3 linked regions of the Rattus norvegicus genome follow. The protein of the gene in region 3 purifies or fractionates together with the protein of the main gene of each other region. This does not show direct contact. Links are inferred from orthologs where the notes say so. Each region holds a gene or a part of one and is shown on either strand. Other genes may lie near its edges.

Region 1 (3,500 bases), on a different chromosome or scaffold from region 3:
ATTCTGAAGTGAAATCTTTAGTTTCTCTCTGTTCAAAATACTGCATTCCAGTGTGAGGAAATGGCTCAGGAAGGACCTGAGTTTGAATGTTCAACACTCAGGTACAAGCAGGGGATTGCAAAAGGTATAGATGAATGGATCCCAAGGGTGCACTGGCTACCAATCTCACCAACCAAATAAGCTCCGGATTCAGTGAGAGACACACATGGGTGCACTCTTGTAATTCCAATACTTGGAAGGCTTGCAGGTATGTTAAAGTCCTGGACTAGCCTACATTACAAAGGAAGACTGTATTAGTTGTTCCTGTGTTTTTACATATGTGTATGTATGTGCTAGTGCTTGCAGAGGTCAGAGAACAGCCTGCTGGAATTGGCTCTCCTTCCACCATATGTATTTTGGAGATTGAGCTAGGTCTTTATATTTTGTGCCTTAACCCTCAGAGCCATTTCTCAAACCCAACTCTGTCATTTTTTTTAAAGTTATGTCTCACAAGCTGAGATTAAAGATATATCCAGTGCAATTCTGTCTTTTAAAGGAAGAAACTATGAGAAAAACTTAAAATTTAAAATTATTGCACCTTATTTCACCATCTATTTCTATAGATTTGATCAGCTCTGACTGTAGCCAGTCCGTATTTTATGTGGTCTTTTGTGAATTCTCTGGTCTGTTTCAGGCCCATGTCAAGACGGGGCTCACCATCTGCTGGCTTCTAGTGTACACTACAGTGTTTTAAAAGGTTTTGCCAAAGGTATTGACCTAGACTAAGCAATGTTGGGTGCCTTGGGGACACAGGGAATATTCTGTGTCAAACTCTTTTTTGCCTGGCATTCCCTCCAACACATTGATTAAGTGTACAAATATGTGACACCATGGGGCTTGGGGGAAGGGCCCTGAGGAAAGTAAAGCTTGACAGAGTCATCTCAGCAAGTGAGATCAAGCAAGAGTCACATACTTCTCTGTCCTTCCAGAATCACTGATTCTAGAGTGTCAGTTTTTATACAACTAGATCCATGGGTCTGGGAGCACGGCTCAGATGTACAGCACTTTTTTGGCATGCGCCCTAAGTTCCATCACCAGCACTCCTCAGAAATAAACAGCTGGGGACAGCTAGAAAGAGTGCTCTACAGTTAGACCACTGATTACTCTCCCAAAGAACCCAGGTTTAGTTCCCAGCACCCACATAGTTGTTAACTACTTCTATCTTAATGGGGCAACGCATCTTTTTTTTTTTTTTTTTTTGTAAGATTTATTTATTTCATGTATGTGAATACACTGTAGCTGTCCTCAGACACACCAGAAGAGGGCATCGGATCCCATTACAGATGGTTGTGAGCCACCATGTGGATGCTGGGAATTGAACTCAGGACCTCTGGAAAAGCAGTCAGTGCTCTTAACCACTGAGCCGTCTCCAATGCACTTTTCATCCAGGGAATTTGAAATTTCAATTTGGGTTATAAGTAAGTTCTTACCCCTCGTTGGTTTGCCAAATGTTGTGGTAAATATTATTTTGGGGATTTCTATCTGACTTAGATCATAGTTTTCAAATAAAAGACAAAATCCTTTACATTTATAATAAGCTTTAAGGGCTGGAGAGATGGCTTAGTGGTTAAGGGCACCGACTGCTCTTCCCGAGGTCCTGAGTTCAAATCCCAGCGACCACATGGTGGCTCACAACCATCTGTAATGAGATCTGATGCCCTCTTCTGGTGTGTCTGAAGACAGCTACAGTGTACTCATATATATAATAAATAAATAAAATATTATAATAAGCTTTAAACTGTTAGAGCTAGGCAGATATCAACCTTTTATGTTTTGTCTACTTCGCTGTTAATAACTGAGAACTTGCCATGTTCTGCCTGGGTCACTCCTACTCCAATAGGCAGGCAGCCCTCATGGTCATGCACTCGTGATCCACCTACCTCATGATAACTTATTTCTTCTCTCACTGTGGTGCCTGCCTGATACCCCAGTCCCAGGACCTGAAGCCCCGCCTACTTCTCTTCTGCTCTACATACTCTAGGCATCTTTACTAACCAATCAGGGATATCTTGGGGAACAAGGTTTACACAACAAAGGCTGGTTGGTATAAGTGAAGGCTTGTCGTGGAGCAGCCAGATCTTGGATACAGGAGTTAGCATTTGAATACAATTAGCACTAGACCAACCCACTACAGTACCTCTAGTTCCAGAGACCCAACACCATCTTCTGGCCGCTGAGCCCAGGCACCAAAGGGTGCAAAGACAGACATGCAGGCAAACACCCCATGCACATAAAATAAAAGGGGATGCACATAAGAAAATAAAGCTTAAAAAATGAAATACCTAATAATTTCCCCAAAATGCTGAGGCTGGAGTTTGAACCTGGTGAACCGTGGGCATGGGGTCACCAGAAAGATCTGGGTGAACGTGTGAAGGAACAAGGGAATAGATGTATAAAGGAGAGCTTTATGATCCAGGTGACAAACTCCACATATGATCTGTGTGCTTCCAGTGTGTTGGATGCCTGCACCACACTGGACCAAGAGCAGGCAGCTTCCAAGAGTTCTCTGAAAATCTCAGCTTGTGCAACTTTTCCCAGCTGCTGGAGCTAGGGGTTGTGTAATTTCAAAGAGCCTAAAATAAGTTCTGGGTCTGATGCCAAGCTTCTCTGTACTAGCATGACCTTGCTCCTGGTAATACTTGGCCCCCCTACAAGAGGCTATGAGTACCAGGGCTCTCCTAAGATCAGTGGGAAGGGTCTCCAGGTACTTTTTCTTTCATCTCTTGTGGGTATACTCCAGGACCAAGCCCCCTTAGTGATGGAGTACAGAGTCAGGTTTGGAGGGATGCCTTATCACACACCATTTGCTGGCAGAGCCTCTGTCCCACAATGTGCACAAGTAGGCATGAGTCGGTGCCAGATGTGGACAAGTTTGGGACAAGTTGGTTCCCCCCGCAGCTTTGCCTTTCTCCTCCTGCCACCTGGCTGTCCTGCTGGATTGGAATCTGCCACCCTGCCCCAGTTATCGAGGGATCTGCTCTACTAGGGTGGCACCAACCCTTCTGTGAAAGAGGATGGCACTTCCTACCCAGAGACCAGGGCAGCCTAACTCCCTGCTGTTCCCTCACAAGCCTTGTCACAGGACTCTTGGATCAGTCTCTGCTCTATGCTTCCTCTCAGCTACTGAGAGGCCTAAGTTTCCCTGGAGGGCCAGAGTCAAGGTCACTTGGCAGAATTAGGAAAAAAATGTCTCCATTAAAGTGGATCTTCATTTTGCTCTAATTCAGGACTGTGGTGCCAGGGCCTATTGCCCAGCAGTTATAGGACCTTCTAGTATATTCAGATTCACCTGATGCTGACAAAAAGACCTTGCTCTCAGCAGTGTCAGTCCTCAACTCCCTTATCCCCCATGTTCTTGCAGACCTTGAGTGGAAGATCATTTATGTGGGCTCAGCTGAGAGCGAGGAGTTTGATCAGATCCTAGACTCAGTGCTGGTGGGCCCTGTTCCTGCAGGAAGGCA
Region 2 (3,500 bases), on a different chromosome or scaffold from region 3:
CAGCAGGATACAGTACAGTATAGTACTGGAGGGCGGAAGTGGAGTAGAACCTGCCTTAGAGAAAAGCCCACTGAAACATTTGTTTTTCACTGATGTATTCAACAAATAACCAGAGCAGTGGTGGCTGCTCTGAAAAGGAATGGCAGGAAGCTGGGGTGGCAATTGTGGTGGAAGCTGTCCTTGGGACTTACTCCCTTGGCTCTTTCTGGGCAGATATCTAGATTCCTTTTCCTTCTTCCTCTGTATCTTCCTCTTCTGAGTCTAAGCCTCATTCTGGCAGGTTTGATAGCAATGCCTCTGCCAGCTCCTCCAGTAATGAGGGCGACAGCGACCGAGAAGAGAAGAAGCGGAAACAGCTCAAAAGAGCCAAGATGGCCAAGGATCGGAAGAGCCGCAAGAAGTCTTCAGAGGTATTAGGAGCGAGAATGTGTGTGCTTCCGTTTTCTACTTTCTTTCTCCTGTTCACTACCAGTAGATACTGTTGACGGTGTTGCTTTTGTAGGCTGGTTATGACTTTAGTAGGTATTTTCTAAGTTTTTCCTTTTGGTTCTGAGATACTTTGTTGAGGATCTGGGGTGGGTTTTTTTTTGGTTGTTGTTTTGTTTTTTATTTTTGTGTTTTATTTGTGTTGTATTTTATTTTTTTGTTCATTTGACTAATTTTAATATTTTTGGACAATTTTATACATATATTTAGTGTACTATGATTTCCCTCCTTCCTGCTCTCTCAGCTCTATAATTAGTATCTCTTTTACTTCTTTCTTTCCTGGTGGGTTTAGTAAGGATTGCTTGTGTAATGGGTAAACATGGAAAGAGGGTTAGTTGCTGGAGCATAAGTAATTTACCAGTGGCTACAGCACTGAAGAAAGTGATTCGTGTTCTCCTTGCAATTGTTATCTACACGTAGCTCATTTAGAGGGAGCGAGTCCTCACGGATGCCTTTGCCACGTCTGGTAGAGTATCAGTGGGCCAATGCCCTTAGTGCTTACAGTCACAGCAACCATGCTGTGTCTGGGGACACTGCTTTATAGCACTGCTCTCCTTTCTCTGGCTCTTGCCATCTGCCTGCTCCCTTTTTTAGCCAAGTTTCCTTGGCCTTAGTGACACACATGCTCTGTTTAGGACCAAGTCCTCAGTTGTCACTTAGTCTCAGCACATGACCATATGTGAGTCTCTTACTCTGAATTAGGAGATGTCCTGCCTCTGCCCTAGGGGATCTCTCTGAGGAGAGAACAGTCACCACCTTGTAGCTTAGGCTGTTTCTCCGTGGCCCAAATCTACTTAGTTCTTCCTGCATCTCCTCCTTTCCCAAGCACCTGCCTTGGGGAAGCTTGGCATAGTTGTAGGATGTGCATGGCTGGTAGCATCTGGTTTCTTACATAGGGGAAGAAGGGTAAGGATCCAAATGCCCCCAAGAGGCCTATGTCTGCGTACATGTTGTGGCTTAATGCAAGCCGAGAGAAGATCAAGTCAGATCACCCTGGCATCAGCATCACAGATCTTTCCAAGAAGGCAGGCGAAATCTGGAAGGGAATGTCCAAAGAGAAGAAAGAGGTGCGTGGCAGTGGGAAGGAGGGGAGTGAGAAGGGCTCGTGGGTGCAGGGTGTGCCACTCCTGAGCAACTGTGGATGCACATTTGCTTACATCAGTCTGAGGAGTGCTTGTGCTTGTGGCAGGAGTGGGACCGCAAGGCCGAGGATGCTAGGAGGGAGTATGAGAAAGCCATGAAAGAGTATGAAGGAGGACGAGGGGACTCGTCTAAAAGGTGAGTGTTGGGAGCATAACGGCTAATGACTGCTTAGGACAGATTGTGTTTGCAGGTCAGAATAGAGAATTCCTGTGCATGTTTTTGACAGCAGTTAAGTAGTGCTTCTTATGCCAAGTATGGGTGATGAATTCAGGTTGAGGGATAAATATGGCCCATTTTCCTAGATGAGTTTTACTTGAAGTAATAGGATATAGTTCAGAAGAAAGTTTTCTTGTGAAGCCTAATACAAAGTTCACACGAGCTTTTAAATAAAACAAAAGTGTTCAGTAAGTTCTGCATGTAAGTTGGTTTGGCTCTGACCCTGGTTCTTCTGGGGTACTTGTGTATGATCCTGTCCTTTGGTGCACTTTAGGCTGACAGTGACATTACATTTGCCATGGTGAGAATAGTGTGGCCAGTACTGGGAAAAGTCCTCATTAAAGCTATGAGAAATATAATACAGAAAGCCTAATGACCAGGCTTCTTTTCCATGTTCCTAATCTAGGGACAAGTCTAAGAAGAAAAAGAAAGTAAAAGCAAAGTTGGAAAAGAAATCCACTCCTTCCCGGGGCTCATCATCCAAGTCTTCATCCAGGCAGTTGAGCGACAGCTTCAAGAGCAAAGAGTTTGTGTCCAGTGACGAGAGCTCTTCAGGCGAGAACAAGAGCAAAAAGAAGAGGAGGCGGAGCGAGGTTGGGCAAGGATATGGGGGCTTAGAGCTATGTGTGCCTGGGGGTGGGTAAGGCCCAGTTGTGGTTGGTGTGTGAGAGTAATGAGTTAGAGAAGACCGGTGGACTTCTGAGGTTTTGGTGAGTCCAGGAGTTGTAGGAAGAACTAGGCGTTAGGAACCCTTTACCATTAAGTGGCTGGGAAGGTAGCTGGCACTCGACACATTTATCCTAAGAGAACTTTGGTTTTCAGGACTCTGATGAAGAGGAACTAGCCAGTACTCCTCCAAGCTCAGAGGACTCTGCCTCAGGATCTGATGAGTAGAGGAAGAGAATTCCTGCCCTTGCCCTGTCACACCTCCAGGCTCACACCTCCAGGCTCCCTACTCATTTGGTACCAGTGTCTATGGATTCTGTGCCATCTGAGTAACTGCTCTTGGTGGCTTCCACTTCCCTGAGGCTTTGAGGGAAGCACCTAACCTCTGCTTTGCAAGGAAAGCTCCATGCAATCTGGAAAGAGACTGGGTACTGGCAGCGCATCGAAGGATCCAAGTCCTCATCCTACTTTGCTACTTTCCTGACTGTAGGGGCAAAACTGCTTCCTGTCCTGTTCAAGTTGCTGCAGCAGGGGTCATGCGAAGTCAGGCCTGTAGCTCCTAATAGGGGCCTATTTCTACTTTTATTTTGTATTTCTGGTCTGTGAAAACAATTTAATAAAGGGAACTGACTTTGGAAACGATGTCCTTTGTCTCCTTTCCCACTTTGCATGCTGTGGTGTTTACCTTCCCTGACTGGGCAGAGCCCTCCTGCCCAGCTGGGAAGCAAAGTCTCCAGGTACATCATGTCCTCCCCAGCTGACAAGCATTGGTTTTCATCCTTGTTTTTGAAACTGTGCCACTTGAGAGTCAAGAAATGAGTGCTGATCTGATTAGGAAGCCTCTCAGAGTTCCTTCCACTCCACTCCATTAGCCAACAGAGGGGGCAGGGGCAGCGGCGGCTCTTAATCACCGTATGAGTCAAGGGTCTTACAAGGCTTGAGATAATAGAATGAGGATCGACTTTCTACTGTAGAGTGGAAACCTGAGT
Region 3 (3,500 bases):
GTCTAAATACCTGTGAGATTCTAAATCTTTAAAATGAGTCTCTTTGTGAACATGCCTGGCCACAAAGAGTAGCTGTGTGTGCAAAGGGAAAGCCGCCCCGTGGGAGGGCTGCCCAGAAGGAAACGGGAGCAAAGATAAAACATAGATTTAGAAAGTGTTAAGTCAGCAATTCTGGAGAGAGTGTGTGCTAGCCATGGGAGGTTTGTGGGTGCCCAGTCATTGAGTTAGCTAAGCCATATTAAAATCTAGAGGGTGTGAGTATATCTTTCATTCATGAATCCAGAGCTCTTGGGTGGGTACAGAGCCGCACACTCCTGCTGGGAGCACAGAGCAGACTCCATAAAATATTTACTGCTACAAGTAGCACATTAGCAAACGCTGTTGTAGTAGTCCAGTGGGCAGGGTTCACAGGGAAATCCAGCCTTTCCATGAGAACTTCTCAGACCCTAGATGCTAGCAGTTTTTGCCAGGGCATGTTTTATGGTATGAAAAGGCACTGTTTCTTTAAGGCTCTGATTTGAATCGATCTAATCTTTTCTCTGTAGAAAACAGAGGCCAGTCAAATTCTCTATAAAAGACATATGCCACTGGGACGCTATGTGAACTTTGTAAGTTTCCTTTTAACAGTTTCTATTGACTGTGCTGCAAAGATGGGATGGACTCTTCTAGTTAGCTAATGTCATAAGCATTTAGGATGTCTCTGGGGATGGACTCTTCTAGTCAGCTAATGTCATAAGCATTTAGGATGTCTCTGGGTAAACTGACACAGAGTTCCATAGTAAAATGGAATATATGTCATCTGGCTGAGAAAATGCCTTCATAAGATCCAGCAGCAGGTAAACTTGTAAGGAATTTTTTAAAGTAGTGACTGATTTGGGAGGGCACAGCCCACTGTGGGTGAGTTCAGTCCTGGGCTGCTAGTACTGGGTTCTACAAGAAAACAAACTAAGCAAGCCATGAAGAGCAAGCCAGTTAGTTAGCAGCACCCTTCCATGGCCTCTGCATCAGCTCCTGCCTCTGGGGTTCCTGCCCTGACTTCTTTCAGTGATGAATTACTTACTGGGAAGAGTAAGCAGAATGAACATTTTCATCCAGAAGTTGCTTTTGGTCAACTAGGCAACTAGAATAAAGTATTCCATTCTGTAACATGGCTTAGGACATACTAACAGTTCCAGTGCTGACTCCTCTAAAACCATAGGTTTATTCTTAGAATGACAATGACGCCTTTGTCTAAATAGCCAGCATTATTTTTGGATGGGTTATAAGCTTATAAAATGAAACAGAACAGAACACCCTAATCACGTATATGTAGTCAAATCCATACTGTCACCTGCCTTACTCATTGTCACACTGGACATAGCTGGGTAGTTGATCTGTCAATATGGATTTTATATGACAAGTCACCTGAGGCTTCGAAATCCAGCTGTCCCTAAGGACACTGCATGTTGAAAAGATAAGCACCAGGAGGTGTGCAGCTTTGAGGTGGCCATTTCAGCAGGAACATGGTGATGATGCATGGCCCGCTAAGTCACATGACTGTCTACCCATGCAAGCATTACAAAAGTGACAACAGTCATAGCACTGAAGCATTCTTCACATCAAAAGAAAACATCCCATTTTCCTAAATGGGCAACAAAGCATTTTAAAAGAAAGATAAAGCATGTATTATAATGCATTATATGGTACACAAAGTAGTCTAATCAAACATACCTCTGTGCAATATTTTTGCCGAGGCCCCATTTCAGCTCGGAATCCTTCAGAGACTGAGTGAGGGTAGGAATCAACTGGATGCCAATGTGCTGACTCAGTGCTGCTACTGTCTCCAGGATGCTGTATACTTGATAACTGTATTGCATACCGTAGTCCTGGATGAACTGCCTGACAACAAAACAGACAACCTCAGAGTCAGTTTGGGCCAGTGATTTACGTTATAATCTCTTCTCACCACGCAGGACCATTACTTCATAAGGACTGAGAGACTGTGCATGGTAAGGCCTTATATGTTTGCTTAACTACTAGAAGGAGGGTGGTCTCCCATAGTATGGCTTCACCTTCAACACTTTATCCACTTGCCTCCGTCACCGAGAACGTTGGGATTACTAGTTTGTGTCACCATGCCCAGCTTGTGGACACTTAGAGAACAACAACAAAAATGATTGGAAGGTGAATCAGGTGGCTCAAAAAAAAAAAAAAAAAGTAACTCTAAGGACTTTTCATGATATTCTCCCCTACAAACCTGGGATACAAGGAGCGTGAAAGGCAGTAAACAAAGTCACGCTTCCTAGTTATTTTTTTAGCCTATCACATGTCTGTATTAGTCAATATAGTCATGAAAAATTTATTCATATCTTTTTACATGTTTTAAGTGAACAAAAAACCTTATAGGCAGAAAGTCTTTATAAATAAAAAAAAATTATGTCTAAAATTTCCACATTCCACAATCAATAGAACAAAGATTTGACCTTTCCTTTTCTCCTATGGTGTTGGAATGTTCGTGAATGTTTAGTATCATATCAAGTGATCATAACTGAAATTAACTGGAAAGAGCAGACAAGCACCAATTATGAGACAAGAGGAAGAGACCAGGAACCAAATATGCAACGCAGAATAAAAGAAACACACCTCAAATCAAGTGTCATGTCGTGCCTGGACGGGGACATGTGACAGGATGCACAAAAGCTAGCAGGCAGACCCCTCAGGGAGAAATGGCACAAAGACTCTGCCCTAAGAGAAGACTCCAATCAAAGCTAAGGAACTCTAGGAAACTTCAGTGTGTATAAAGCAAGTCGGAGGACCGGGGACAGGCATTTTTACACAGCATCCCCAGGAGCAGGTAAGCAAGCTCCGAAGGCCTGTGCACCTGTTGTTGGAGCTTACACTTGCTTGTGTTTTTCTTCTTAACCACATTCTAGATTCTTTCTCACTGAAGACACAAGTAATTTCAAGTCAGTCAGCTTACCTTTCTCCTTGGCACTTTTACTTTTCAAAAAAGCAACACAATGTAACAAAACCACTGCCCCAAATACTGTAATTGAAACACTGTAAACAAGTAGTAACACATTATGTTTGGGATAATTAGTTATTTAAAAAGCATGTTGGCCGTCAAATGGCTGGCAACCCTCTCCTTGCCAGTTGGCATGCTTTCTAGTTACCTAAACAGAGAAGTCAGCTGGGTGGCAGGTCCTCCTTCTGACCCCACTTGGCAGGTTTTTACCATGCACTGCAGGTTCTCTGTGGCCAGCCTTTTAACTAGGAGAAAATGATAGGATTACACAATGTGTCTGAACTGACCATCTGGATCTTCATTTTTAACACTCTTGATTTAGAAAAATATGTTGTTTTCTTCAAGTATCTGCATACTTTTTTTAAGTTTTCAAGTGAAATAGTTTTAAGTTTGTTTGTTCTGAAGAATACCTAAAAAGTTTAAAAATCTATTTTGAGTCTCAAAGCTGAAATAATGCATATGAAGATGTTTTCTCTTTAGAAAGGTATCCATATTC

The links. The genes of interacting proteins can lie anywhere in the genome.
Region 1: the proteins of Mms22l (region 3) and Asf1b purify together in Homo sapiens (co-immunoprecipitation; 4 studies listed by BioGRID and IntAct, counting the BioPlex papers as one, with this or other methods). This does not show direct contact. The link is inferred for Rattus norvegicus from reciprocal best matches to the Homo sapiens genes MMS22L and ASF1B.
Region 2: the proteins of Mms22l (region 3) and Ssrp1 purify together in Homo sapiens (affinity purification with mass spectrometry; 3 studies listed by BioGRID and IntAct, counting the BioPlex papers as one, with this or other methods). This does not show direct contact. The link is inferred for Rattus norvegicus from reciprocal best matches to the Homo sapiens genes MMS22L and SSRP1.

Annotation. Positions count from the first base shown.
Region 1 is NC_086037.1:41,090,353-41,093,852, reverse strand, and holds part of Asf1b (histone chaperone ASF1B), read left to right. Parts: intron 1-3,400; coding exon 3,401-3,500. UniProt on the Homo sapiens protein: Histone chaperone that facilitates histone deposition and histone exchange and removal during nucleosome assembly and disassembly. Cooperates with chromatin assembly factor 1 (CAF-1) to promote replication-dependent chromatin assembly.
Region 2 is NC_086021.1:90,537,983-90,541,482, forward strand, and holds the end of Ssrp1 (FACT complex subunit SSRP1), read left to right. Parts: intron 1-280; coding exon 281-410; intron 411-1,382; coding exon 1,383-1,553; intron 1,554-1,675; coding exon 1,676-1,764; intron 1,765-2,251; coding exon 2,252-2,438; intron 2,439-2,667; coding exon 2,668-2,739; 3' UTR 2,740-3,150; downstream 3,151-3,500. UniProt on the Homo sapiens protein: Component of the FACT complex, a general chromatin factor that acts to reorganize nucleosomes. The FACT complex is involved in multiple processes that require DNA as a template such as mRNA elongation, DNA replication and DNA repair.
Region 3 is NC_086023.1:43,105,914-43,109,413, reverse strand, and holds part of Mms22l (protein MMS22-like), read right to left. Parts: intron 3,250-3,500; coding exon 3,153-3,249; intron 1,879-3,152; coding exon 1,711-1,878; intron 1-1,710. UniProt on the Homo sapiens protein: Component of the MMS22L-TONSL complex, a complex that promotes homologous recombination-mediated repair of double-strand breaks (DSBs) at stalled or collapsed replication forks.